7 linked regions of the Mus musculus genome follow. The protein of the gene in region 3 purifies or fractionates together with the protein of the main gene of each other region. This does not show direct contact. Links are inferred from orthologs where the notes say so. Each region holds a gene or a part of one and is shown on either strand. Other genes may lie near its edges. The genes, in order: Polr3e, Polr2d, Rpap2, Uxt, Pfdn2, Polr2m and Med19.

Region 1 (3,500 bases), on a different chromosome or scaffold from region 3:
TTGGGAAGGACACTGGTCACTCTTGCGTCTAGGTAGGGACCTGGCTGGGAGTGTCCCTGGGGAGCTGTGCCATGGCACTTTCCAAGTTGGGTGGTGCTTTGTACCTTCAGGTAGAGCTTGAGATGGCCATCGACACCCTGAATCCCAACTACTGCCGCAGCAAAGGGGAGCAGATCGCACTGAACGTGGACGGTGCCTGTGCTGACGAGACTAGCACATATTCCTCGTGAGTTCCTGCCCCCAGGGTCCCTCCCACTGAAGGTAAAGGTTAAAGAGGAGTCTCTAGTGGCCTCAGGCATTGGGTCCTTTCTGCCCTTTCCCTGGGATCCCAATCATGTCAGGTCTCTACCGTTAACCAAGAGTGTTGTTGGCCTTCCCTCCTACGTTGGCTTATCCCAGCGGGTGCCCATCATTATCCCTTGATCCCTCAGAGCTCTGGGTTTTCTCATCCCTTAGTCCTAGCTAGTATACATTGGATTGACAAGGCTCTGAGAATAGAGGAAGCGTTCCAAAGTTGTATCACAAGTGCTCACTTTTAATCCCAGCACTCGGGAGGCAGAGGCAGGTGGATCTCTGTTGGGATGGAATAGGGTTGGCCGGCTTCTGTAGAGCATCATAGCCCTTGACACTAATTCTCCTTGTGTTCCCAGAAAGCTGATGGACAAGCAGACCTTCTGCTCCTCCCAGACCACCAGCAACACAGCTCGTTATGCCGCTGCACTCTACAGGCAAGGTACCTGGGAGAGCTGGCTATACCCTGGGAGAGCACGGGGAAGACTGGGCCTGAGGACCTCATCTAGTCTTATGTGTGCTGTTGGCTGCTACTGAACACTAAACTGTGCAGGATCAGGGCAGTGTGGAAATGAAAAACTATGGAGTCAAAGCACTGCGAAGAGGACTTTGCTGGGCACTTCCAACTTGGTAGAGTTGGAGCTTCAAGTCAGTTTGCTCCTGGGAACACATATGCAACATAGCATAGTATTGGACAGGCTGCAGAATTTTGTCCTTTTAAGTACATGCTACTTAGAACCAAGCAATCCTATTCATACATGGGCAGCATGCACTGAGGACAAATAGAAATATGTGTATATAAAACCTTGGACACAGATGTTCATAGGACCTTATTCATGAGAGCCAATGAATGGAAACGGCCCCAAACCTATCACGTGATGCCTGCGTAAACAAAATGTGCCATATCCACAGGACATCTATAAGGATAACAGACTTATCTGCTCATGTGAAAGAGCGAATCCCTGATGAATGTATGCATCCATGTGGATGGTAGAAATCATGCTCAAAACACTGCATATAGCCAGGCATGGTGGTACACACTTTTAATCTCAGCATGCCCTTAATCCCAGTGCTTGTGAGGCAGATGCAGGTGGATCTCTTGAGTTCTGGACCATCCTGGTCTAAATAGTATATAGGACAGCCAGGGATATAGAGAGAGACTTGTCTCAAAACAGACACCACTAACAACAAAAAAATGATAGCGAACTACGTGCTTTAATTTTCTTTCCTATTCCTGTGACAAAACACCTTGACAAAAGCAGATGAGGGAAAAAGAGGTTCACAGTTGCAGTTTACAGACCTTCCTGAGAGGCTGAACCAGCAGGAAGTAATTACACAGTCAAGATGAGAGCAATGAATACATGTATGCATGTAGTACTCGGCTTGCTCTCTACACTCTTGTTCAGGACCCTCTGCCCATTGTAACAGTTCCACCCACAGAGAGTGTGCTGTCTCGTTAATCACCATAATGCGCCACAGACGTGCCCCAGGCTAACAGTCTAGCCACTCTGACTGAGACTCCAGGTGTTGTCAGGTTGACAGAGCTAACCATTCTACTATATCCCCAAGGGCAGAAGAAGGTGATCATGGGAAGTACAGGTTCTTTTTGAGGTGTTGAAGATGTGCCAAAGCTGAGAGTGGCAGAGTTGCCACAATTTTGAGACTATATTAGTGTATATCAAGCTGTGTGCTTCAGCTGGGGGTGTCTAGTGTGTCAGAGCACACTCCGCACATCTGTTGGCTGCTCAAGGTACTACATTCAGCACTTGGGCTTTGCAAAGCAACGAATGACAGGCTCTGAGAAGAGAGGAGACATTCCGAAGTGTATCACTAGTGCTCACCTTTAACCCCAGCACTCGGGGGCAGAGGCAGGGCGTCTGGTATATTACACGGTACGTCCAGGACTTCTAAGGCCATGTAGGGAGATCCTGTCTCAAGAATCCTGTTGTCGTCCATAGCTACTGTCTTGTTCTGAACTACAGCTCAATGCTGCAACACTACCCACCCTCCTGCCCCCCGCCCCCTTTTTTTTCTTTTTCTTTTTTTTTTTGAGATAGGGGTTTCTCTGTAGTCCTGGCTGTCTTGGAATTCACTCTGTAGACTAGAGTGGCCTCAAACTCAGAGATCCACCTGCCTCTGCCTCCCAAGTACTGGGACTAAAAGTGTGTGCCACCACTGCCTGCTCATCTGTTGTTAGATTTATTATGTCTGACTGCTTTGTCTGCACGTGTGTATGTACATTGCTTGCGTGCCTGGTGCCTGCAGAGTCCAGAATTGGAGTTAGGAGTGCTTGTGAGGGGCCGTATTTGTGCTAGGAATCAGATGTGGGTCCTCTTGAAGAGCAGTAAGTGCTCTTAACTGCTGATCCATCTCTCCAGCCCAGGAAGCTATAATCCTTGCAGCCAGAGACATATTAGTTAAAGGCTATGCTGTCCTCTAATGGACTCTGGTAGGGTCTGGCAACAGCACTATAGCAGAGCCCAGAGGGAAGAGTGGGTGAGTTGTGCATTGTGGATAGAGGGAGCAGTAGGCATGAGGTTGGAGACATGACATGGCAGAGAGTGTAGAGAGGCAAATCTCAGGAAGTAGCCTTGAGCAGAATCAGGCTCCTGCTCTGGGCGTGCTTAGTGTGTCTAGTTGGAAACAGCTCCTGACCTGGTCTCCTGAAGAGGCTAAATTGGAATTGGAGTTGGCTTGGTGTTGTAACAGTGAGTGTAGGCCTTCTGGGGGACTTGGTGTTTCCTTTGAGCAAGTTGGGTATGTCGGCTTTGGGTTGTAGCGGCATGTTCAAACCCTTCTTCTTTTGCCAGGTGAGCTCCACCTGACACCTTTACATGGCATCCTACAGCTTCGGCCCAGCTTCTCCTACCTTGATAAGGCAGATGCCAAGCACCGAGAGAGGGAGGCAGCCAATGAGGGTGAGCCTGCTGACAGCCTGTGGTCTGAATGAGCTCACGTGAGCACTTGACAGAGATCAGGTGGTGGGATTCTTACTGACATGCCAGGCCCTTGCCTACTAAATACCACATCTGGGACAACCAAAAAATGTCCCCACAGATGGCCAGACATCACCTGAGGATTAAACTGCTCCAGTTGAGAGCAGGGCCCCTTGCTTGGCGCTCTTGAGGGAGGGTTATGTTGGGGCAGAATGAGCAGTCCCAGTAGAGACTGTACTGACAGCTTGCTTTGCAGCAGGGGATTCTTCTCAG
Region 2 (2,543 bases), on a different chromosome or scaffold from region 3:
ACTCAACCTGTGACCTCTAAAAAGAGCATCACTTAACTCCCGAGTTCCCTCTCCAATGCAGCGTGTATATGCCGCCTTACCCTGCTGGGCTCTTTTCAGGGTTCTTGGCTCTGCCTGCTGTTTTTCATTTGTTTTTTTGTTTTTGTTTTTGTTTTGTTTTTTGTTTTTTTCTGGAACTTGTTGATTTTCTGGGGTAGGAACAGGAAGTGACTTCAAAGGAGGATTCTGATGCCCACATAACCATAATCAAATATTACAATCTCCTTTTTGCTATTGATGAATGATTAGCATTTGACCGACACTGAATGAGAACATAATTTTTTTTGTTTTTTGAGACAGGGTTTCTCTGCGTAGCCCTGGCCGTCCTGGAACTCACTTTGTAGACCAGGCTGGCCTCAAACTGAGAAATCCACCTGCCTCTGCCTCCCAAGTGCTGGGATTAAAGGCGTGCAATACCACGCCCGGCCTAATTTTTGTTTTTTATTAGCATATAACTACACATAGTAATGGGTCCCACTGTGACATTTTTATTCAAGTATATATTTTGATCATACTTATTTCCCCCCATTACTGCTCACTTCATCACAGTCTTTCTGTGTTTTTATTTTCCGCTACAATCAGCTTGCTTCTCCAGAAAAAGTTACATAAGTTTGAGTTGGCCTGTTTAGCCAATCTTTGCCCGGAGACTGCTGAAGAGTCCAAAGCTCTGATTCCAAGGTTAGTACCGGATGGGATAGATTTCTGTCTATTTTCTATAGATTTCTATAAGTCAAATTGCTAGAACTAAAAGTTGTATGCATTTAATATTTGGGTTAATGACATGGCAGCATTGAATAGGAATGTAGTTGAATGGTGTTTGAGATAGGATTTGGGGATTGGTTTTGTGGTTTGTTGGTGGTAGTCTCAGGTAACCAAGGCTTTCCTTGAACATCTTGATTGTCTTGCTTTCACCTGTCAAGGGCTGGGATTACAGGTGTAAATGGTCATGCTGGCTTAAGAATAGTTTGAGTTGCTGGGCAGTGGTGGCGCACGCCTTTAATCCCAGCACTCGGGAGGCAGAGGCAGGCGGATTTCTGAGTTTGAGGCCAGCCTGGTCTACAGAGTGAGTTCCAGGACAGCCAGCCAGGCTACACAGAGAAACCCTGTCTCGAAAAAAACAAAACAAAACAAAATTAAATTTACATCATGTGTGACTGTTGAAGCTTTTAAAAATCTTTTTTCTATTTACAACTTTTTAGTGCTTATATAAAGGAATGTCAAAAACCATTCAGTTTAAACTTCGAGGCAGTAGAGCTAAGCGAGCTGCTCGGAGATGAGCCTCCTTTGACAGACTGGGGAAACCTCCAGCGGCCAAGTCACTTACATTTCTTGGTTTTCTTACAGCCTGGAAGGGCGTTTTGAAGATGAGGAGCTGCAGCAGATTCTCGATGACATCCAGACGAAGCGCAGCTTCCAGTACTGATCCGCAGACGTCACTCTGCTCCTTGAGTTACAGCACCACGGTCTGAAGCCTGGGGAGGCCTCATGCAGGAACATTGCTTCAGAAGACGCTGGAGCTTCTTTCGTAGTTTTTGCTTCACTGCGAGAGAGTGTCTCTCCAGTTCTCAAAGTCATAACAGTCCTCCTGCCTCAGCCTCGCAGGTGCTGGGATTACAGGTGTGAGCCAACACTTTCAGCTTGGCTTCTGGAGAGGAAAGAAAGGCTGGCTATTGATGCTGTAGGTGCTATCTTCACAGTGACTGTTAGACCATAACTACCATCTGCGCTCCTTGCAGCCTTTTAAGGCTGCTGTGGTCAGGCAGGCTGCCATCCTGAACTGCTGAGGTAGAATGATGTTCAAACATTCGTTGACTACTTCGTACCGTGGTTTTTTTGGACCCCATGTTACTATTTTTTTGTTCTTGACACTTCAGATTTTAATGTCAATTATTTTGTAGTTTTTGAAGCTAAAATGATATATAAAAAACTTGCATAGGAGAGGAGTGTTTTCACTTGGTTGTAAAGGGGAGAAATAAACCAGAACACTGTTTTTTTTTAAAAGAATTGTATTTATTTGTTAATGGGGAGAGGGTACATGATCCATGGCACATGTGTGGGGGGCAGGAGTCAGTTCTGTCCAAAGTCTTGTACATACTAGAAAAGTGCTGTACCATTGAGCAACACTCTAGCCCAGAAGTTGCTTTTGTTTGTTTGTGTGTTGTACATATGTATGTGCAAGTGTGTGCATCTATGTAAGGAGACTAGCAGAGGACATTGGGTGTATACCCATATTTCTGTCCTTTGAAATGGGCTCTGTCTCACTGAACCTATATCTAGGCTGGATGACCAAAAGCCCCAACAATCCTGTCTTCACTTTCTCTTTTTGCTTGTACCTTGGGGTTCAAGGCATGTACAGTGGGAACACAGCAGTCTTTTCACTAACGGTAGTGCTAATGGACAGACTCAGGTCTTCATGCATAGCACATACCCTTATTCACTGAGCCAGTCCCCAGCCACCCTGCAATGTTTAAAGAGTGAGAGACAGTTGACTAAAAGAACTTTGC
Region 3 (3,500 bases):
TGCTCTAGGCAAAGAACGAGAGTCTAAAGTCTCAAAAGTTAATGAAGGTTCCTACCTTCACGTGAACACATGAAAGTTTCTAGGTTCCAGATGTGAGAGAGAAGGGTAAGACCTGGTGACCAACAGAGGTAGTTCTGGTAGGTCCCAACCTAGAAGAAGAGCGAGTAAGTCACCACAGCACTGTATCCTGAGCGTGACAGTGAATCTCCCTTCTGTGCTTCTGTCCTATTCTGGTTGACTGGGCCTGTTGTGGGACCTGGACATGGTGTCTGTTCTTGGTGTGCAGCTCAGTGAGGCTGTTTCCTGAGATAGCTTCGATTTTTGCCTTCCGTGTGTGTGTGTGTGTTGGGGGAGAGGGGGGGACAGAGCACTGATGGGACCCGTGGTGGCTATGGCAAGGGTTCCTCGACTGCATTTCACATATCAGGATAGTTATTTAGTAGGACTTTATAATGAAGGTGAGAAAATGCTGCTCTTCTTTTCAGACATAACTGTTCTAGTAAGCTGAGCTACCACAACTAGGCTGTTGACAATTTTTTGAGTGAAAGAAAAGTAGAAATCATCTCTTCACCCTTCATTCTGTTTACTTATGTGACAGAGAAAAAAAATTTTTTTTACTATGTATGGCAAAACTACAAAAGGAAAATTTATATATATAAATTTTGTTATAAAATTTATATATATACTCTTTTTTAAAAATATAACTTCATTTTATGTAGTTCACACTTGCCTTAGACTCTGAATCTTCCCACTGCCTCCTCCCAAGTGTGTAACTGTGGCATGTACCACCATGTCCTGCCCAGCCCTCCTCTACTGGAGTCTATAAGTGTTTCCTTGTTCTCTGAGCCTAGAAGTAAGTCCTCGTGGCCAGCTTCCATGTACACACTGGGAAGACCAAAAAGTATTGGATCAGAGGTGGAGAGTTAAAAGCTCATTTATTGGCAAAATAGTAGGCCACTAGGTGGCTTTTAAAGCACGGAGTGTTGAAGGTAGGAGAAGTCTTGAATTGGGTTAACTTTCTCATTAAAATTTCAGGCAAGCAGAACTGGAAGCTGCTATACAAAGGAAGGTGGAGTTTGAAAGGAAAGCTGTGCGCATCGTAGAGCAGCTCTTAGAGGAGAACATCACAGAAGAATTCCTGAAGGAGTGTGTACGTGTTCAATGGTCAGACTACCAGATTTAAAATAGAATATCTATATTTAAAGATTTATTTGTGTATATGAGTATTGTACTTGCTGATTTTGTTTGTTGACTTGACAGACAAAGGACCAGAGGAAACAGAACAGGTAAGTCAAAGAAGAAAAGGAAAAAGCCTCAGCTGAGGACACGCCTCCATGCAGAGGACCTAGCCCACAGTGGGTGGCTCCATCCCTGGGCTCTAGTCCTGGGTTCTACAAAAAAAGCAGGCTGAGCAAGCCAGGGGAAGCAAGCCAGGGGAAGCAAGCCAGTAAGCAGCACTCCTCCATGGCCTCTGCATCAGCTCCTGCCTCCAAGTTCCAGCCCTGCTTGACTTCCTGTCATGACTTCCTTTGGTGATGATCAACAATGTGGAAGTACAAGCAGAATAAACCATTTTCTTCCCAGTTTGCTTTTTGGCCATGGTGTTTCATCACAGAACTGATAACCCTGACTAACAAAAATAGACAAGCTGATGCCATAGTGGTGTATTTGCTATGGCAGACATGGTTTGGGGAGGATTGTGGAAGGACTTTGGAACTTTGGGCAAGAAAAAGCCATTGAGAGCTGAGAGCTCAGTGGATGATCTTTGGGAGCTTGGAAGATAAGAATGTTGAAAACAGTGCAGACAGTGAGGCCTGGCTTGTGAAGTTTTAAGACTCTGGCCGTTTGCTATTTTGGATTAAGATTCTGTGGTTCCGGTTAGGTGGGGCTAAAGAACCAGCTGTGATTTAACAAGAGCTCAGAACTACTAAATTGAAGCCTTTGCTTTGCTGGGATACTTGATGCTGGTCAGCTGGAGCTGAGAAATTAGCAGTGATCAAGAAGAGACCAACATTATTGAGATAAAAATCTTCTGGGAAGTGTTTCCTGAGAGCACAGGGAAGCTGTGTTCCATAGGTGACCATGGTTGTACCTTGTACTGGCAGCCAGAGTCACCCAGGTGGTACTGCTTTTGAAGACATGAAGGGATCATGAAGAACAGCTGAGGTTTGGCACTGTGCGACGCCAGGAAAAGCCATCGGTGAAGGTGCAACCCAAGACTGAAAGGATCATGCAAAGAAGTTGAGGAAGAGAGCCATGAGGGACTATTGGTGAAAGTGCATCTCAGTTGCAGTAGAAGACCCCAGTGTTTCAGAGATGCCAGTACTGTGGGAAGACTACCATGGGACAGCAACAGCAGTGGAGTGGAGCCAGCCTGAAGGCAAGCAGTATGTGCTACAGAGTGCAGAGCTGGAGAAATGACCCAAGCCCTTTGGAGGAGTACAGAAGACTGTGAGTGGATCCCAGACATTGGACATGACCAAATAGGAAAAGGCTTATTCTGCCTGCACTTTCATATTGCTGCTCATCACCAAATGAGTCAGGACAGAAACTCAAGCAGGGCAGGAACCAAGAGGCAGAAGCCTATACAGAGGTCATGGAGGAGTGCTGCTTATTGGCTTGCTCAGCCTGCTTTCTTGTAGAACCAAGACCACAGCACAGGGATGGCTCCACCCATGGTAGTTACCATATGTCAGCTCAGCCATCTTTTCAAAGTGTTTAAAGTAACAATGTTACCGTATGTATGTCAGACCCTTCTTGATGTCAGTTCCTTCCTGTGCTCCCAGAGCTCTCACAGTCTGTTGGGAAATGCCCTCTTGTTTCTCCCCAGGGCATGTTCATCACACCAGCTCACTACAGCGACGTTGTGGATGAGCGGTCCATCATCAAACTCTGTGGCTATCCTTTGTGTCAGAAGAAGCTAGGGGTTGTAAGTACTTTCCTTTAAAGTATATTTATTAATTCTTACAAAACATCACAGAGTAGTAAGTTAAGCCTGTGGTCATGAACTAATAATAACTTGGATTGACCAAAAGTATTAATTGTAAATGACTTAATTGTATATAACATAAAGTTTGTGTTCCTTAACTAAATTCTTTTGTAAATTGTACTTTATTTTTCTTTAGATCCCGAAACAGAAATATCGAATTTCTACTAAAACCAATAAAGTCTATGATATTACTGAAAGGAAGGTAAGTTCAGAGCTATTGAAAGTGGCAGTTAATTTTTAAATGAAATTGTACAAAACTTTAATTTTTTTACTTTAAAATTTGTCTGTTAGAAAATAGCTATATTTACAGGTTGTTTCTGTTAAAAGCTAAGGTACTAAGAAAATTTCTTGCTTGAGCTTTAATAAGACTTGAAGCTGGGTGTGGCAGAGACCGGAGAGTCAAGGGTTAGATTTATTCTCGGCCCTGCAGCAAGTTTGAGGCTTCTCTGGGCTACCTCTCTAGCTCAAAAATGATTTGAACATTTGAAAACATGAATACATGCTAGTATAA
Region 4 (4,242 bases), on a different chromosome or scaffold from region 3:
AACAGCAGTAACCTACAAGCCGCCGTGCAGAGTGAACTCAGGCTGTCAGACTGGTTAGCACCGTTTAACCAGTGAGCCATTTGGATAACCTAAAAGTATCTTTTAAATTAAAGAAAAATTACATGAAATATGTTAATAAACTTAACAGACCCAACTCTAGTCTATCTAAACTGTTCTCCTTAGCAAATAAAGATTAACTAATATTATATAGCTTCCTAATATCTGCTTTAAGCACATCAAATTTACTTTTAAATACATGTAACATCAAATTTTGGTTTTGGTTTGGGGGACAAGGTTTCTCTGTAGCCCTCATCATGGACTGCATGCCACCAAGCAGAAATTCATTCAAGATAAATTTCTTAAAATTTGTCTCCATTTAAACATTTTTATGTGCTCTTATTCATTCCCTTTATGGAGGGTGAAAACCAAACAATGTGTGCAACATATATTTTTTTCAAACAGATCCCCACAGGATATACTGCCTTCCTTATAGATTAGTACCATAATCCTTGCTGGTCTATAGGCACTCTTGTGCTTTTAAAATTATTAAATGCTTAAGTGGTCTCAGTGAGTTCTTTTGGTTTTGATTTGGTTTGTTTGTTTTAAAGAGAATATGAAATTGGAGGAAAATGTGGTAGGAGGAGTCTAGGAGGAGTTGGAGGGAAAAGGGAGTGGAGATGATGAAAATATATTGCATACATCTATGAAACTCTCAAAGAATAGAAATGTTTCTAAAAGAAAAAAATAGGGACTATATAGATACCTCAGTAGTTAAGAGCACTGGCCAGTCTTATAGAGGACCCAGGTTCGATTCCCATTACCCACATGGTGCACACAAACTGTTGGTTGCTCCAGTTCCAGGGAATCCCACAACTTCTTCTGGCCTTTGTGGGCAATGCACGCATGTAGTCCATAAACATGCAGACAAAACACATAAAATAGGAAAACAAATGTAAGAGTAAGGAGGGGGGAATACAGAAATGGCTCATCAGTTAAAAACACATAAAACTTGCAGAGAATGTAAACTCCATTATCAGCACCCACATCATGGTAGCTCACAACTGCCTATAAGTTCAGTACCAACGCGCGCGCGCACACACACACACACTTCAAATTACTAATTATAAACACTTAACTCCCTCTCCCTACCTTCCTGTAAGTCCACCCTCCCTCAGAACCCGCCAAATCTCATTGAACGTCACCCAAACCAGTCTCCCGCCAGCTCGCGACGATCCGCCTGCTGGCAGACCGCGGCGTGCCAGGCCCATCTAGATCCATAGGATCCTGCTACCTCCAAGGATTCACTCAGGCCCCGCCTGCAGCCCTTCCCCTAAGTGCATCTTCCCACACGCCGGACCGCCCCTCCCATCGATTTGGTTGGCTCCCTTGCTGGAAATTACATCATCCATCCGCGCCACCCGGAAGCCGCGGCTCATACTAACAGTTATTGCCGGTGGCCCTACGGTAAACGCCGTACTCCTGTACCGGTGAGTGAACGAGTTCCAAAATCGGGTTGGGCAGAAGCAACTCCGTAGCTCGAGCCGAAAGAAGTCATCCCCAACGTTGAGTGGCTGGAGAGAATTTTGTGAAGTTTAAATAGAGCGCTCAACGTGCCCCCCCCTTTACTCCCCCAGGTGCCCGTCATGGCGACGCCCCCGAAACGGCGGGCCTTGGATACGGTGGGGGAGAAAGTGCTGCGGTACGAGACCTTTATCAGTGACGTACTGCAGCGAGACTTGCAGTGAGTGACAACGTGGGAGGCGTGACGTTTGAGAAATTTCACGTGGTGGGTGGGACAGAATGCCGACCAAACTTTCGGATTGGCCGCCCAGACTTCTGGGAATAGGGTTGACTTCTGGGCTGAGATGTGGTTGGAACTTGTCCCTTTAGCAGAGCTCTGACCTTGTTTGTTGGTTTAAAATAGTCATTCCGAACACAGGGTGTTTCTGACTAGGCCATTTAACCAATATTTATGAACAAGTTGTACCTTACTTCACCTTTGTGAACTTTATTCATCTGTGAAATGGAAAAGTTTATTAGGCCTTCTTAACGTGGTGTTTGAGTTTTAAATGTGTCAACTCCGGCACTTGGGAGCCAGAAGCAGGAGGATCTTTGTAAAGCTGAGAACCAGTCTGGGCTACAGACTAACTTTCTCAAAGGGAGAAAAAAATAGAATAAAGCCAGGCTCAAGCTCCATGGTGTGTGCCACTTCTAGTGGAGAGATGGGAAAATTCACTTGTTTAGCCAGGATTACAAGCCAGCCTTGAAAATAGAACAATATTCTATTTTAAAAAAAATCCAGTGTGGTGACACAGGCCTGCAATTGCTGTACTTGGGATAGTGTCAGGAGCAGGATGACCCAGAGTTGAAGGTGATCTTCACCTACATTCGAGGTTGTGTATAGCCTGGGCTTTGAGATTATGTCTCAAAACAAGCAAACTAGGGCCAGCAAGATGGCTTGCCTCCAACCCCATGCCCTAAGTTAGATCTCTGGGACCCACATGGTGGAAGAAAGAAAGACTCCCAAAAACCTGACCTCTGACCTCCAGGTATGTATCATGGCACCCATACATGTACACAAAATAAACACATAAATGCAAGTAAGAACACATTTTAAAAATGCAGATAAACCCCACTATTATTATATTGAGGCTGAGAGGAAAGAATTGTTTGGTGTGTTTACAAATTCAATACTTAGCCTGAGAAACTCAGATATTGTCTTGGGTAATAAAACAAATAACCTAAATAGTTGTTTTAGGAAAGGAATTTGACCCCAGTGCCTGAAATACACTAAAGACTCAACAACTGGATGATTGCTATTGCTGTCATTACTAATCTGAATAGAAAGTTAGGTATTTAGAACTAGGACTGTGTGAGCATGCTAAAAGAGATGGAGAGGTACATTTAGGGTGAAGATGGGACATTTTAATTGGCATAAGTCACTGAATAAAATGTAATATTTATAATTATAATAGGTAACAAGTATATAATGCTTACCATTTGGCTAGCATTTAAAACACTTTGTAGTAAACACTCGATTCTAATGACTCTTATGTGCTACTACGGCCATCTCTGTTTTCTATGTGAAGAAACTTAATCCTAGGTAGGTTTTCTACTTTCCATAGTCACATTCCTAGTAAGAGGTAGAGGTCAGGCTGAACTACAGTCTGACCTGTATTTATTGAAATGCCTGCTGTGTCTCTGTCTATACCCCATTGTGTGTGTTTTGGAGGAGGGGAGCACGGGATCTCACGATGTAGCACAAGCTGGTCTTGAGCTCAGAATCCTCCTGCCTCAGCCCATGAATTACATCCATGTCAACCACAACCTGACTTAAAATGCCTGGCATCTCAAGAGGAATAAGGCTGCCTAATGTTCACTGTTGTATTTCTACATATCAGAAAGGTGCTGGATCATCGAGACAAGGTATATGAGCAGCTGTCCGTATATCTTCAACTAAGAAATGTCATTGAGCGACTCCAGGTAAAGGTTTTTAAATTGGGTACCACTTTGTGTATGTGTACAAAGAAGGGAGGCGGGAAGAAACCCCAAGAACAAAACCTTATCTGCCTTTAAAATTGCCCGCTGACACCTACCTCTTTTCTCCTGGCCCTATAGGAAACTAATCACTCGGAGTTATATATGCAGGTGGATTTGGGCTGTAACTTCTTCGTTGACACAGTGGTGTGAGTATATTCTCTCCCCTCCTGAGTTTCTCCCTTTTTTCATGGAACAAGTATTTCTTAGTATTTTCTATATACAAGGCTCTAGTAGCTTTTATATTTCATTAGGATATGAGCAACATGTTGTGGGTGTGGCCAAAATGAACACAAAGTATCTGCCTTTACAGAGCCTTCATTTTGAGAAACAGGAAGGAATAGGAAACACCTTAAACCATACAGTGTGCTAAATAGTAATAAAGACTTCTTCCACTTCCTCTGACCTCTTTCCTCAGCCCAGATACTTCACGCATCTATGTGGCCCTGGGATATGGTTTTTTCCTGGAACTGACACTGGCTGAAGCACTCAAGTTCATTGACCGAAAGAGTTCTCTCCTCACAGAGTGAGTGCATTCCAAGAGGATAGTATCTAAAGCCACTACATTGGCTAAGGGTACAGGGAAGTGGTAAGAACATTTGCTTAGCATGTGTGAAGCCCTAGGTTCTATCCATATCACACATCACACAAACACATACACAAAATATATAAAAGCCAGATATGGTAGTTCACACCTGTAATCCC
Region 5 (4,120 bases), on a different chromosome or scaffold from region 3:
CAGGGTTTCGTGCAATAAAGTCAAATGCCTCAGGCAGAAAGGCCAGGCAAGCACCCAGTCTGGCAGCCTCTTGAACCAACTCAGCACATGTTTTAAAGTTCTCTTGCTTGTTTGGTGTTGATGTTACCTGGCACACAGCCACCAGGGGCAGCTCCCAGGAAGTTGATGAGGACATGGTTCTGGGCCTGTGAATGACACAGGCAGTATCCTCAGATTTTCTATCTAGGAGAAACTCAGAGGCTCAAGTGGGGGTGGAGCCAGAAACTTTATTTTCTTTTGACTTTTTTCTTTTTTGAGACACGGTCTTTTGTAGCCCAGACAGGCCTTTCTATGTAACTGGGGATGACCTTAAACTCCTGGTTGATCCTCCTTTTTTTCGAGTGCTGGCATTACAGGTGACCCCAGCAACTTGTTTTCATTCTTACAGAGCATAATAACCCTAGAGCTACTGGAGTTCACTCATTACATGTTTGGAGATATCTTTGTCTCCCACTATGAAGTTAATAAACACGAACTAAGCAGCTATGCGCCAGAGAGAGAACATTACGAAATATGTTACCTGGGCTGAGTACAAAGTACTGGGGTTCGAAGTAATCGGTATCCGGTACACAGGAGTTGGTGAGGAGGCCTGGTGATGAAGCCCAGCCTGAAGAAGGTGAGAAATCAGGACACCTAACCCTCTTTCAAGCCGTAAGTTTCTAGAATTCTCTGCCATTTCCAGGCCTGGCCAGTAATCCCCTCCCCCAAGGCTTCGAAAATACTTTTTACTACTAGTAGCTAGGAAAAGATATAAAATGGGAAAATGGGAGAGGCGACTATGATCGGTGCCTTAATACCTCAACTTCCAGTGATCTCACATTAAAACTGAAGCCCTTTTTCCTTTGCCAAACGTTTCCGCAGTTCAAGTCATCTCATGGAACCTTCCTCGTTTCCCCAATTCTCTTCTCGGCTGTGCCACCTGCACAGCTTTATAGACTCAACACGTATCTTTCCCCTTATACCCGAATCTCAGAAGGAAAGTTCACCCTCCCTAGATCTCCACCATCTCATGGTGGGTAGATGGGTACAGGACCAGATCCCAACCCGAGCCCCCGCCCTCTGATTAGCGCGTCCTTCCCCGCCTCTCCCCCCCGGGCAAGAATCTCTGTTGCACAAGTTAAAGCATCGCAGGTGGAATTCACCGCAGCGGGCAGGGTTTGGGAGTAGGTCCTACATGAAGACACAGCCAAAACCATTCACGGGGTCGGATCTCAAGAGCTGCCAGGAGCCAGGAGCGCAGGAGCAAGTGGGCGGTAACCCCCCGGCCGGATGTGACGCAGTGAGAGTGCGCAGGCCGGAAAGCTTGCAGGTGGGGAAGATGGCGGACAGCAGCGGTCGTGTGGGCAAGAGCGGCGGGAGCGGCGCGGGGAAGGGGGCGGTGTCGGCGGAACAGGTGAGGAGCCGCGAGCGCACAAGGCACCCGGGGCGGTGTCGAATTCGTGTAGAAGATAAGATTTGTGGCTCGAAGGGGCCTTTAGTCCTTTCCACGGTCTCCATGGGCACGCACGGGGGAGAGGGGGTCTCTGGAGGTGATCACGAACCTTTCTAGAGCCTGGGTAGGTAGGGGAGAGGCACGCCCGCGGTGTGGGTGGGTAGTCAAGGGAGAAAGCCCTGAGCTGCAGGGTCTGGGAGGGTTGGCCAGGTCTCTGAGAAGATGGATCGTAGTTTGCCCCCTCTCCGAGGTACCCTAAAGAGCGTATGGTGTTTGGCGTGGCATCTAGTAACGAATTCCAAGCTGTTCTTAGTCAGTGAGTGGCTTATGTAGTTCATGGCTCAAAAACCGTGTTCACCATCACCAACACGCTGCAGAGCCACGTGACTCAGACTCTGAGCAGTTTAGTGTTCCGTAAATTATTTTGACTAAGGAGTCTGTGGTTTGTTTGTTTGTTTGTTTTGTCTTGGAGGTGGGGATGAGGGTTGCTATAGGGTCGGGTCCGGCCTTGGCTTTTCCGGAATTCACTTTGTAGACCAAACTGGCCTGGAAGATCCGCTTGCCTCTGCCTCCCACATACTGCGATTAAAGGCTCGGATTATTTCGTCTTTGAGACACGGTCTTACTAAGTGGCCTACGCTGGCCTCGAGCTTGCTCGGTGTGCTCTCTTTGCAAAGATTGACTTCGGAAGAGGGCAGAACCCACCCCCCACCCCCTCTCTCTTTCTCTTTCTCTCTTTCTCTCTTTCTCTCTCTCTCTCTCTCTCTCTCTCTCTCTCTCTCTCTCTCTCTCTCTCTCTTTCTTTCTTTCTTTCTTTCTTTCTTTCTTTCTTTCTTTCTTTCTTTCTTTCATGTGTGAGTACACTGTAGCTGTCTTCAGACACTCCAGAAGATGGAGTCCGATCTCATTACGGATGGTTGTGAGCCACCATGTGGTTGCTGGGATTTGAACTTTGGAAGAGCAGTCGGTGCTCTTAACAGCTGAGCCATCTCACCAGCCCCAGAAGAGTAATTTTAATCATAGGTACATTTGTCAGTTGGTTGTTGAACAATTCCTACAGGTAAAAGCATCAGCATAAAGAGTCTAAAACCCACACTGTCAAAGAGTTAGAAAGTAAGTGTTCAGGGAGAACTGAAGTGCAGGGGAATTCTGGAGATGGAAGAGGGTGTAGCCTCTGACATAGTGGGAAGGAAAAAATGCTAATGCTTTGGAGAGTCCGTCTTGTGTTTGGCTTTGCTTAACCCAGAGGAACAGGTAAATGAAATAGACCTTGTCTTAAACTTGGTCACAGCCAAGTGTGGTGGCCCATACCCATAATCCCCCTGGATTACCCTGTCAGTTCCAGGCTAGCCTGGGTTACAGAGTAAAACACAGTCTCAAAAACAAAACAATGAGACTTTATGTGTGTTTGCATGTGTATGTGCATATACCACATGTGTGCAGGAGCCCTCAGAGACCAGAAGAGTGGTCAAAACCTCTGATAACTGCCTATTAGCTACCATGAGGGTGCTGAGAACCAAACCCAGGTCCTCCGCTATAAAAGTAATCGTTCTTCCACCGAGCCATTTCTCCAACCCTACACTACAAACTTCTGCACATAATGAACTTTTCTTGCACAGTTTGGAGAGAGAGTCCAAAGTAGTGTAGATTTCGGATGTGGCAGGTAAGTAGGCAAGGGAATGGCGGGTAGTGGAATGGTTGGGAGGGTTTCCTGGCCTAGAATCAGAATGACCTGTGCTTGCTTTGTATTTCTTATTTATATATGATTTCTCTTGTTACCTTTTACCCTCGTCTATCTGTAAAAGCACAGTAGTTTTCCATTTCGTAACTAGAGTACTAGGCAAGAAAATCCATTTGGGTTTTGTTTTGTTTTGTTTTTTTCCACCATGACTAAATACAGAGACTACATAGTGTGTTTAACAAATGCTACTTAGAGCTGGAGAGATGGCCTCTGCACTCGAGCACCTGATCTCGCACAGACAGACACACTTGCACGCACATAATCTGAACAGTCTTTCTAAATGCTAATTTCCTTTTATTTTCTAGATTTTTTGGCTTAATTCTAAAGGCTGGGAAAAGTTAGTCATGTGAAGATTTTTTTTCGTTAGAAGTAGTGTGTTCAAAAGCATTGAGCCATGAACTGCTTGGCATTGAAAATGCTGGAGAATTTAAAGAGATATATTGCAAGACCTAAAGAGATACAGTCAACTTTGTTCTTTGACACAGGGTTTTTCACGTGGCCTAGAACTCACCAGGTAGGCTAGGATGGCTGACCAGAGAGTCCATTGATCCTCCCTTTCCTCAGCACTGGGAAAACAAGCCTCAGAATTTAAGTTCACTAGCATTCCAGTGCCAGGCAGTTCATGCCTCAGTACCATGCCTGCCTGCCTGCCTGCCTTTTTTTTCCCTCCTCCTCCTCCTCCTCCTCCTCCTCTTCCTCCTCCTCTTCTTTTTTCTCCTCCTCCTCCTCCTCTTCCTTCTTAAAAAGTGTGTTCTGGGGCTCAAACCCTGGTTCTTTGGCTCTTTACCTGTGAAATTTTCTTCCCAGCCCAATTTAAGGTTTATTACTGATGTGTGTGTTAGCCTAGTGTGTCTCTCACAAGGAAAATAGGAGCAGGTAATACTTCGTACTAGGTGCTTGTTTTATTT
Region 6 (4,146 bases), on a different chromosome or scaffold from region 3:
TCCAGAACTAACTACATGCTGTGGTCTCTTAGATCTCTTAGCAATGCTTCAAAGATAATTGTTTCGAAGTCCATCAGGTATAAGTGTTATAAAAACAATGAAATGTGACTCTCCCTGAGAAGCCCATGCCCATCTCTGGGTATATGTTCCATTTGAGCACTTTTATATCTCTGAACACTCATACTTAGGCCTGTATGAAAATATTTTTTATTAGACTCCTATTCTCCTAGTCCTGAATATTTTCAGCATCAAAGTTACAAACCCTGGTTTGAAATCCCTAAAAGATTAGAGGAATTTCTCAGGCCGTGGAAGTCAAGAGTGGAGCCGTTCTTCCTTTCTATTCCCTTTGTTAATATGGCTTAATAAGCCCACTCTTAAGAGAAATGAGAGTTTATGTTGACATGAACATCTATTAAAAATGTTGACAGTGACTTGATCTGTGATCATTAAGAACTGAAAACAACTCAAATATCCTTCAGCATAAACACACAACTCACAATGCAATACTGCCTAGCAATAAAAAAGGGGCAGGGCAGCAAAGCCCGAATCAGAAACTGTCCAACTACTTGCCAAAGACGCTGTACTATTTTGCATCCTCTGCTCCCCCATTAGCAGTCTGTAGGAATCTCAGTCGCTCTTCATTATTTCCAACAGTTGACATGGTCGACCTTTCTAATTCCTGATATTCTGACTTGCTCAAATATTCAAATCTTGTTTTGTTTGAGACAGAGTCACTTTGCAACCTCGAATTCACTATGTAGATCAGGCTGGCCTTGAACTCAGTCAGCCAGACTTAAAGGCATGCACGACCATACCTGACTATATTGTTTCTAATATGCATTTTATTATAGCTAGCTATATTGGTCACTTGTTATTTTTTGAAGACTAAATTATGTTAATGTGTGTGTGTTTGTGCGCAGGTGTCTGGAGAAGCCAGAGTTTGTGAAGTGCCCTGGAGCTGCAGTCTAAAGGCATTTGTAAGCTACCCAACAGGGGCACTGGTACCCAAACTCTGGCATACTGCAAAAGCAGTATGCCCTCTTAGCCACTGAGCCATCATTATAACCCCGTTATTTATTTTAACTGTGATTAATGTCCATTCAGGAATCCCTGTAAATTTTTTGTCCAAAACTTTGATTGCTTAATCGTAGATGCGACGCTCTATTACTTTCGTCATATTTTACTTATTAGAAGTGAGTTTGTAAGTCTTTGACTTGAGTGTCCTATATTTCCCAGTGCACAGGCGAAAAGCCGGGAAAGCAAAAGGCCCATCCAGAGAAAGCCCGCCAAACCCAGACGCCTTGGCGGTGATGTAACTTCCGCCCCTGCACGCTTCCTCGGGCGTCCCCTCGTCCTGGCCTGTCCGTTTCCGGCATTTCAATAAAGCTCCCTTCGGCTCGGAGAAGCCGTGCTCTTCCGGGAAAATGGCGACTCCCGCTCGCGCTCCAGAGTCGCCGCCGGCCGCGGAGCCAGCGCCCGCCGTGGGCCCCGCCGGGGATCCCTGCCCGCCGCGCCAGCCGCAGCCCGTGCGCAATGTTCTCGCTGCCCCGCGGCTTCGAGCCCCCAGCTCCCGAGGACTTGGGGCGGCAGAGTTCGGCGGAGCTGCGGGAGAGGTTGAGGCGCCAGGAGAGACTTTTGCGCAACGAGTAAGCGGTGGCCCTGGGGTCGCGGTTGCGGGGGATCGGGATCAGGGAACAGGCTCTCAGGGATCGGGATCCGGGGACTTGGTCTCCCGCCCCGCCCCGCGGCCTGGCGCGCGAAGGTGACCTTGCGTGGCCAGGCCTCCCGAGCCAGGCCTGTCCTGTGCGCGGGCATGGCTCCATGCTGCCCGGCCCTCACTCGGCAGCCGCGCCTGCTCGATTTCATGTTCGCACTACAGCTTTGAACGAGCTCCGGTACCAAAGCCTCTTGATCGGAACGTGTGGGATTTCCTTCTCTCTATCTGAAGCCCCACTCTTTCCCCAACCATAGATTTGGAGAGCGGGCTGGAAAGTTTGGTTCATGCGTAGTGGGGAGAAGATGATAGCTGATTGCCTAAAGGCAGCTTTGTTTAGGAACAGGATTGAAGGAAGACGCCAAAAGGATATTTTCTGAGAGGTTTTTTTTTCAGCAAGGAGGGAAAAATGGACCATGAAGGCAATCGAGGGATTGGGGGAACTGGTGTAATAATTTGGAGACAAATATATATTAATAGTTAACAGGTGGTTGAAGTTTCTGGGGAGCAACAAAGAATAATGGGAAAATTGGGAGAGAGGGATGGATTTTAGGTTAATTTTTTATTTTGGGCGTATTCAGTTGAGGGAGTAATTGCAGGCATTTAGTTAATTAAAAGCCAACCGATTAAAACCCAGAGGAATGAGTATTAGGCACAAGAGAGAGAAGGCTGAAAAAAACCGAGAGGAACTCAGTTGCAGAGAGGCATTAATACTGTTGAAAACGTGGGAATAAATGTATCAGGAAAAATAGAGGACCCAAGGTTTAGCCCCCTTCTCCTGTTTGTTATATAACCAAGGAAAAGAACCAGAAAGGGAATTTTTGTCACTGAGGGAAAGGAGCCAATGACCATTTGGCAGGAGGGGTTCCTACTAGAAACAGGTAGGTATTTTGACTTTTCAAGATTGGGTTGTTAATTTTAGCAGTGAATTAACCTTCTGGTCTTGGAACATTTTTATACTCTTTAAGAGTTATTTGGCATCTCAAAGAACTCCTGTTTATATATGCTGAGTCTAGAAATATTAGCAGTTTGCCAGAAGCAACTGAGAATTCTTTCAAACACAGAACCACATAAGCAAGTCCATCTTCCTTTGTAAGATAGTGATGTTATCCCATTATGTAACCTCTGGCATTCCTCAGTTCATCGGGGTTCAGAGACCATGGCTTAAAACCCACTGGTCCTTATCATATATTTATTGTACAGGCTAACCATGTTTTCCTAAGTGCTTAAGACCATTATTTTATATTTTTAGGAGGCTTGGAATGTATGGGTAGAGTTAAGACCCAAATTTAAATATAAGTTTCAGTTGTTTCTTACACATGGCTTGAAGGTAATTTTATACCATGTTCCTTATAGCTTGGGGGGGCGGGTTGAGGGGTTCAAGACAGGGTTTCTCTGTGTAGCCCTGGCTGTCCTGGAATTCACTTTGTAGACCAGGCTGGCCTCGAACTCATAAATCCGCCTGCCTTTGCCTCCCAAGTGCTGGGATTAAAGGCGTGCGCCACCACGCCCTGCTCATAGTTTGGGTTTTGACTACACCTCATCATCCTGTGGTCAGGTGTGAAACTTTCCACCCTGAGAGAATTTCATTTCCCATTCAGAGCACTCCCTTGGGGGAGGGGTTAGAATAATTTTACGTGTTTGGTTATTGTCTTAAGCCAGATTTTTTAAAAATCAAAAAAAATTTTTTTTAAACTTTTAAGAGCCAGCTTTTCTTTGATTCCATTTTGCCTTTTAAATACTGTGTTCCCCATGTTTAAAAACATGCCTGTAATATGTATGTGCTGGTTTCTTTTTTTCCACTCCACAGAAAATTCATTTGCAAATTGCCCGACAAAGGTAAAAAGATCTCAGACACAGTTGCCAAACTGAAAGCTGCCATTTCAGAACGTGAAGAGGTTAGAGGGAGAAGTGAACTGTTTCATCCTGTTAGTGTAGACTGTAAGCTAAGGCAAAAAGCAACCACAAGAGCTGACACCGATGTAGACAAGGCCCAGAGTTCTGACCTGATGCTTGATACTTCATCATTAGATCCTGACTGTTCCTCAATAGACATTAAGTCATCTAAATCAACCTCAGAAACACAGGGACCTACACATCTCACTCACAGAGGCAATGAAGAGACTTTGGAGGCTGGCTACACAGTAAACAGCAGCCCAGCTGCCCACATCCGAGCCCGGGCGCCCTCATCCGAAGTTAAGGAGCATCTCCCCCAGCACTCTGTTTCAAGTCAAGAGGAAGAGATCTCCAGCAGCATCGACAGTCTCTTCATCACTAAATTGCAAAAAATCACAATTGCAGACCAGAGTGAACCCTCAGAAGAAAACACCAGCACTGAGAACTTTCCAGAACTGCAGAGTGAGACTCCTAAGAAGCCTCATTACATGAAAGTGCTAGAAATGCGAGCCAGAAACCCAGTGCCCCCTCCTCAT
Region 7 (4,191 bases), on a different chromosome or scaffold from region 3:
TAGAAATCCTATATAGACCAGGCTTACATCAATCTTAAAGAAGTCCACCTGCCTCTGTCTCCAGAGAGCTGGGATCAAAAGGGTACAACACAAAGCCTGGCAACAGTACTGTATCTTTAATGTAAACAAAGTTAATCTTATTTGAGAGTCCCAGAACATGTGAGGCCTGCCCAAGGTTATATCAATACCTTTAGGCCTTAAGTCCTGGTCATTGCTATTTTAGCATAAATACCTGTATAGGTATTTATTAGCTCTATGTCCACAACCTTTACGGCAAATGTTAATTGTTCTTACATACTGCTTCTTAGATGGTTGAGGGGCCTCCCTCCCCACACCTCATATTTTTGTAATCTTCCCTGTTTTTCTATCCCACCGCAGGAAGATAGTGTGCATAGTTACTATGCCCAGAGTATTCGATTTTCCATCCAAGTCATTTATTTTGTTGAGTCAGCGACCTTCGTCTGCCAGTCTATCAGAGAATTGAATAAGGTTAGACAGCACTTTCTGAACGCTGCGTTTCCTTGGGAAATCGCCTAACTACACTGTGATCACTTCGTTAAAAATTAAACAAAAAAAATTTAATGGTATTTCTACTATTGGCCTTTTCTTCACTGGCGCCCCAGGTAGCTTGGAATCACTGTAGAATACTGTTCATCTGTGATGGAAACCCTGTAATCTGTTTCTCCATCTTAAACACGGAGGTTATGACTAGATAACGGCCTAGGCTCTGCACTCAGTCTGTAAGGCGGCTACATCCCGAAACCTGCTCCCAGATTTTCACATGCACCTGCAGGGCAGGGATGGTCAAGGTCGAGAGCTGGTAAGGCAGGGGGCGCTCACCCAGTCAAAGTCACACGGGTTGCCATCTTCGCGTTGCGTGGGGAGACCATTGCAAATCGGTGGCAGTTTCCTCACGAGGAGGAAAGCAATGGAAAGCAGAGCAGACAGAAGGCAATAAGGTCGGGCCAGCCATCGAGAAAGCCGCGGCACCGAGTACACCAAAGCAATCAGAGGCGCAAGGACAGCCATCTTTCCTGCCTACTCTCTCGCAGGCTCACTCCCGCTCCCCAAATCTTCGTCCTCCGCCCCCACCAGCAAGGCTTCTATTGGACCAAATATCAGATGCAACGCCTCCAGACCCGGATGTAGATCTCTTATTGGATGCTATAATAGATCAGAAAATGAATTAAATAGTCTATTGGTCCTCATCGTTGTCGCTTTTCTAACTGAGTCATTTTATTGGCTATTAGTCTGCGAACCACCTTCCTAACCAGTCTCTCAGGCGACGGAAGTAAGTTGCCGGAAGATGGTAGGCGGGGCTTAATGTATCCAATGATGGGACACTCTTAGACGAAGAGGGTGGTACCCTGTGAAAGTACTGTCCAATCAAAGTAATTAACGCCCGATCCCGGGTAACCAGGAGCGCAGAGTGCTATGGAGAACTTCACGGCACTGTTTGGAGCTCAGACTGACCCCCCACCGCCACCAAGCGCCCTAGGCTTTGGGCCTGGAAAGCCACCCCCGCCACCCCCTCCTCCTCCGGGAGGTGGTCCAGGCGCAGCCCCGCCCTCGACGGCAACCTCGGCCCCCGCAGGAGCGGATAAGTCGACGGCTGGAAGTGGCCCCTTCTACCTGATGCGGGAATTGCCAGGTGAGTAGTAGGCCAAGAGTAGCCACTCAGATTGTAGTTCAGGTGAGGGTGTGGCTAGCCTGTCCCGCTAGGTGTGAGATAACAGGGCTACGCGGGGCCAGTGGGCAACAGTGTCAGAAGCCCTTTGGCGATTCACAACCCTAAGGGATAACTTGATTTTCTGGGGTGGGTTTGGGTTGGGTGTGAATATCTGGGACAACCTTCAGCGAGAAGTTCTGTGATCCGGGTTCTCTGACTGCCGTTTGTGACTCTATAAAAACGTGAGCCGTTGTTTAGAACTCGGGAGACCCGATTTAACATTTCTGGAGACACTTAAGATTTTAGTTTAAAGTCTGTCACAAACTTGTTGGTTTGTAGCAAGTTGCCTTCCTTGTCAGGGACTCGGAGATTAACCTGTTCAAAGAAAGGATTAGAATTGAATCAATTCTTACTTTCATAAAATTATTCGGGGAAATTGTGGTGGTGGGGGGCGTGGCTCAGTGGTAGAACTCTTGCCTGCCTTGCAAAAGGCGTCGCGTTCACAGAATCATTTCTGAGTAGGTAGCATTCAAGAATAAACAAAGCCATCCCTGTTTGGATAGAGAGGAGATACTAGGTACAAGAAACTAAATCAGGAGACCTTGGGGGGCGGGGCTTAGAATATCTGAGGGGCAGAAGACACATTGGACTCAGGAAAGCGGAAAAAATCCAGTAGTGATGGGAAATAGGTAGAGGCTTTTATAAGGCAAGGTAGGTTGTTTAAAGTTCAAATTGAAGTCATTTCAATATAGGTGCAAAATGATCTAATTTAGTGATTTTTAGATATCCAGCAGAAACATGAAAAATGAAAATAGGATAATCAGAAGTTGCCAGTCAGTGTTCAGAAAAGGAATGGTTTGGACCAGGGCTTAGTGGTCGGGAAGCAAATGAATACAGGATACATGTTAAAGGTAAAGCCTACAGAAATAAAGAACTAAATATACACAGAGAGAGGAATTGTGAGTGTCCTGTACAAAGGGTACAGTAGTCTGAGACTAGGAAGGCATGGAAAGAAAAAATTTGAAGAGCTAAAACTTAAGAGGCGTTCTGGACATGTTAAGTCTTGGGGAACTTGTAGTACTCCATACCAGCACTCAGGAGGTGAAGGCAGAAGGAGCTATAGTTCAAGCCCAGCCTAGGAGACATGAGATCCTGCTTCAAAAAAGAAATAAAAACCTCAGTTATCCCAGTATTTATTAGCAAAATAGTTTGAAGTTCACATCAGTGCAGTGTGTAACAATATGTAATACTTACTATAGTCCTTTTAGATAGATAGGTATTGTCTGTATTTTTTAATTGAGAACTGAAGCATAAAGAAATGACTGTTAAGGCAGTTTTCTTTTTCCTTATTTTAGTTGTTTTTTGTTTTTTTTAAAGATATGTATATGACTACACCATTGCTCTCTATGGACACACCAGAAGGAGGCATCAGATCCCATTACAGATGCTTGTGAGCCACCAGGTGGTTTCTGGGAATTGAACTCAGGACCTCTGGAAGAGCAGTTGATGCACTTAACCACTAAGCCAGCTCTCCAGCCCATCTTACTGGGTTTTTGAGACATGGTCTCACTCAGTAAGCCTGGCTTGTCTCAAATTCATTGTAGACTAGGCTGGCCTTGAACTCACAGAGATCCACTTGCCTCTACCTTCAAGTATGTACCATCATGCCCAGCTTCTTCCAGCAGTTTATCTTTTGCATTACCTGTTCTAATTATACCATTAATAGATCAGTTGATAAGTACTGAATATCCAAGGTATGGTGGGATTATGAGAAGTAAAGATTATATACATATATATATGATTTATTTATTTATTATATGTAAGTACACTGTAACTATCTTCAGACACTCCAGAGAGGGCATCAGATTTCGTTATGGATGGTTGTGAGCCACCATGTGGTTGCTAGGATTTGAACTCGGGACCTTCGGAAGAGCAGTCGGCACTCTTAACCACTGAGCTATCTCACCAGCCCCGAGAAGTGAAGATTATTAAGCCTAGTTTTTAGGTAGCCTATTTTTTGAGATCCAAAATACATGGTTTAAGGATTGTGCTTATATTTTGTGGGTGTCAGTCTTATTTATTTATAGTTCAACACAGGAAGCAATGTTAAAAACTACCTGATAGTTTTCAAAATGTGTTAGCCAAAATGACAGCAAGAATAAGATGTCATTTGAACTAAACACTGAAGAATTTATATAGGTAAACAAAATTAGAAAGTTGTTTTCTCAAAGGAAATAGTGTTACAGTTTTTTGTTTGTTTGTTGTTTTTTGTTTTTCGAGACAGGGTTTCTCTGTGTAACCCTGGCTGTCCTGGAACTCACTCTGTAGACCAGGCTGGCCTCAAACTCAGAAATTGGCCTGCCTCTGCCTCCCAAGTGCTGGAATTAAAAGTGCCACCACTGCCTAGCTGTGTTACAGTTTTGTTGCTGTTTTCTACCCAGAAGATAATTAGATCTGCTGCAGACCCTCTGGTCCCGCAAGATCCATCTGGATACATTAGAAATTTTGCATGGAAGATTAGT

What was found.
Region 1: the proteins of Rpap2 (region 3) and Polr3e purify together in Homo sapiens (affinity purification with mass spectrometry; 3 studies listed by BioGRID, with this or other methods). This does not show direct contact. The link is inferred for Mus musculus from reciprocal best matches to the Homo sapiens genes RPAP2 and POLR3E.
Region 2: the proteins of Rpap2 (region 3) and Polr2d purify together in Homo sapiens (affinity purification with mass spectrometry; 5 studies listed by BioGRID and IntAct, counting the BioPlex papers as one, with this or other methods). This does not show direct contact. The link is inferred for Mus musculus from reciprocal best matches to the Homo sapiens genes RPAP2 and POLR2D.
Region 4: the proteins of Rpap2 (region 3) and Uxt purify together in Homo sapiens (affinity purification with mass spectrometry; 4 studies listed by BioGRID and IntAct, counting the BioPlex papers as one, with this or other methods). This does not show direct contact. The link is inferred for Mus musculus from reciprocal best matches to the Homo sapiens genes RPAP2 and UXT.
Region 5: the proteins of Rpap2 (region 3) and Pfdn2 purify together in Homo sapiens (co-immunoprecipitation; 3 studies listed by BioGRID and IntAct, with this or other methods). This does not show direct contact. The link is inferred for Mus musculus from reciprocal best matches to the Homo sapiens genes RPAP2 and PFDN2.
Region 6: the proteins of Rpap2 (region 3) and Polr2m purify together in Homo sapiens (affinity purification with mass spectrometry; 3 studies listed by BioGRID and IntAct, counting the BioPlex papers as one, with this or other methods). This does not show direct contact. The link is inferred for Mus musculus from reciprocal best matches to the Homo sapiens genes RPAP2 and POLR2M.
Region 7: the proteins of Rpap2 (region 3) and Med19 purify together in Homo sapiens (affinity purification with mass spectrometry; 3 studies listed by BioGRID and IntAct, with this or other methods). This does not show direct contact. The link is inferred for Mus musculus from reciprocal best matches to the Homo sapiens genes RPAP2 and MED19.

Annotation. Positions count from the first base shown.
Region 1 is NC_000073.6:120,927,778-120,931,277, forward strand, and holds part of Polr3e (DNA-directed RNA polymerase III subunit RPC5), read left to right. Parts: intron 1-110; coding exon 111-226; intron 227-650; coding exon 651-733; intron 734-3,101; coding exon 3,102-3,209; intron 3,210-3,471; coding exon of another isoform or gene 3,472-3,483; coding exon 3,484-3,500. UniProt on the Homo sapiens protein: DNA-dependent RNA polymerase catalyzes the transcription of DNA into RNA using the four ribonucleoside triphosphates as substrates.
Region 2 is NC_000084.6:31,794,667-31,797,209, forward strand, and holds the end of Polr2d (DNA-directed RNA polymerase II subunit RPB4), read left to right. Parts: intron 1-621; coding exon 622-717; intron 718-1,383; coding exon 1,384-1,462; 3' UTR 1,463-2,043; downstream 2,044-2,543. UniProt on the Homo sapiens protein: Core component of RNA polymerase II (Pol II), a DNA-dependent RNA polymerase which synthesizes mRNA precursors and many functional non-coding RNAs using the four ribonucleoside triphosphates as substrates.
Region 3 is NC_000071.6:107,600,696-107,604,195, forward strand, and holds part of Rpap2 (putative RNA polymerase II subunit B1 CTD phosphatase Rpap2), read left to right. Parts: intron 1-1,035; coding exon 1,036-1,150; exon of another isoform or gene 1,151-1,161; coding exon of another isoform or gene 1,162-1,164; intron 1,165-1,260; exon of another isoform or gene 1,261-1,286; intron 1,287-2,598; exon of another isoform or gene 2,599-2,830; coding exon 2,831-2,929; intron 2,930-3,125; coding exon 3,126-3,191; intron 3,192-3,500.
Region 4 is NC_000086.7:20,959,179-20,963,420, reverse strand, and holds the start of Uxt (protein UXT), read left to right. Parts: upstream 1-1,442; 5' UTR 1,443-1,487; exon of another isoform or gene 1,488-1,571; intron 1,572-1,634; 5' UTR 1,635-1,643; coding exon 1,644-1,741; exon of another isoform or gene 1,742-1,745; intron 1,746-3,401; coding exon 3,402-3,483; intron 3,484-3,618; coding exon 3,619-3,686; intron 3,687-3,955; coding exon 3,956-4,063; intron 4,064-4,242. UniProt on the Homo sapiens protein: Involved in gene transcription regulation. Acts in concert with the corepressor URI1 to regulate androgen receptor AR-mediated transcription. Together with URI1, associates with chromatin to the NKX3-1 promoter region.
Region 5 is NC_000067.6:171,344,355-171,348,474, forward strand, and holds the start of Pfdn2 (prefoldin subunit 2), read left to right. Parts: upstream 1-1,320; 5' UTR 1,321-1,357; coding exon 1,358-1,432; intron 1,433-4,120. Other genes in the region: Nit1 (deaminated glutathione amidase), read right to left, coding at 1-185, 560-646, 1,214-1,215. UniProt on the Homo sapiens protein: Binds specifically to cytosolic chaperonin (c-CPN) and transfers target proteins to it. Binds to nascent polypeptide chain and promotes folding in an environment in which there are many competing pathways for nonnative proteins.
Region 6 is NC_000075.6:71,483,184-71,487,329, reverse strand, and holds the start of Polr2m (DNA-directed RNA polymerase II subunit GRINL1A), read left to right. Parts: upstream 1-1,346; 5' UTR 1,347-1,533; coding exon 1,534-1,646; intron 1,647-2,371; exon of another isoform or gene 2,372-2,595; intron 2,596-3,524; coding exon 3,525-4,146.
Region 7 is NC_000068.7:84,677,011-84,681,201, forward strand, and holds the start of Med19 (mediator of RNA polymerase II transcription subunit 19), read left to right. Parts: upstream 1-1,391; 5' UTR 1,392-1,434; coding exon 1,435-1,651; exon of another isoform or gene 1,652-1,818; intron 1,819-4,191. Other genes in the region: Tmx2 (thioredoxin-related transmembrane protein 2 isoform a precursor), read right to left, coding at 841-1,029. UniProt on the Homo sapiens protein: Component of the Mediator complex, a coactivator involved in the regulated transcription of nearly all RNA polymerase II-dependent genes.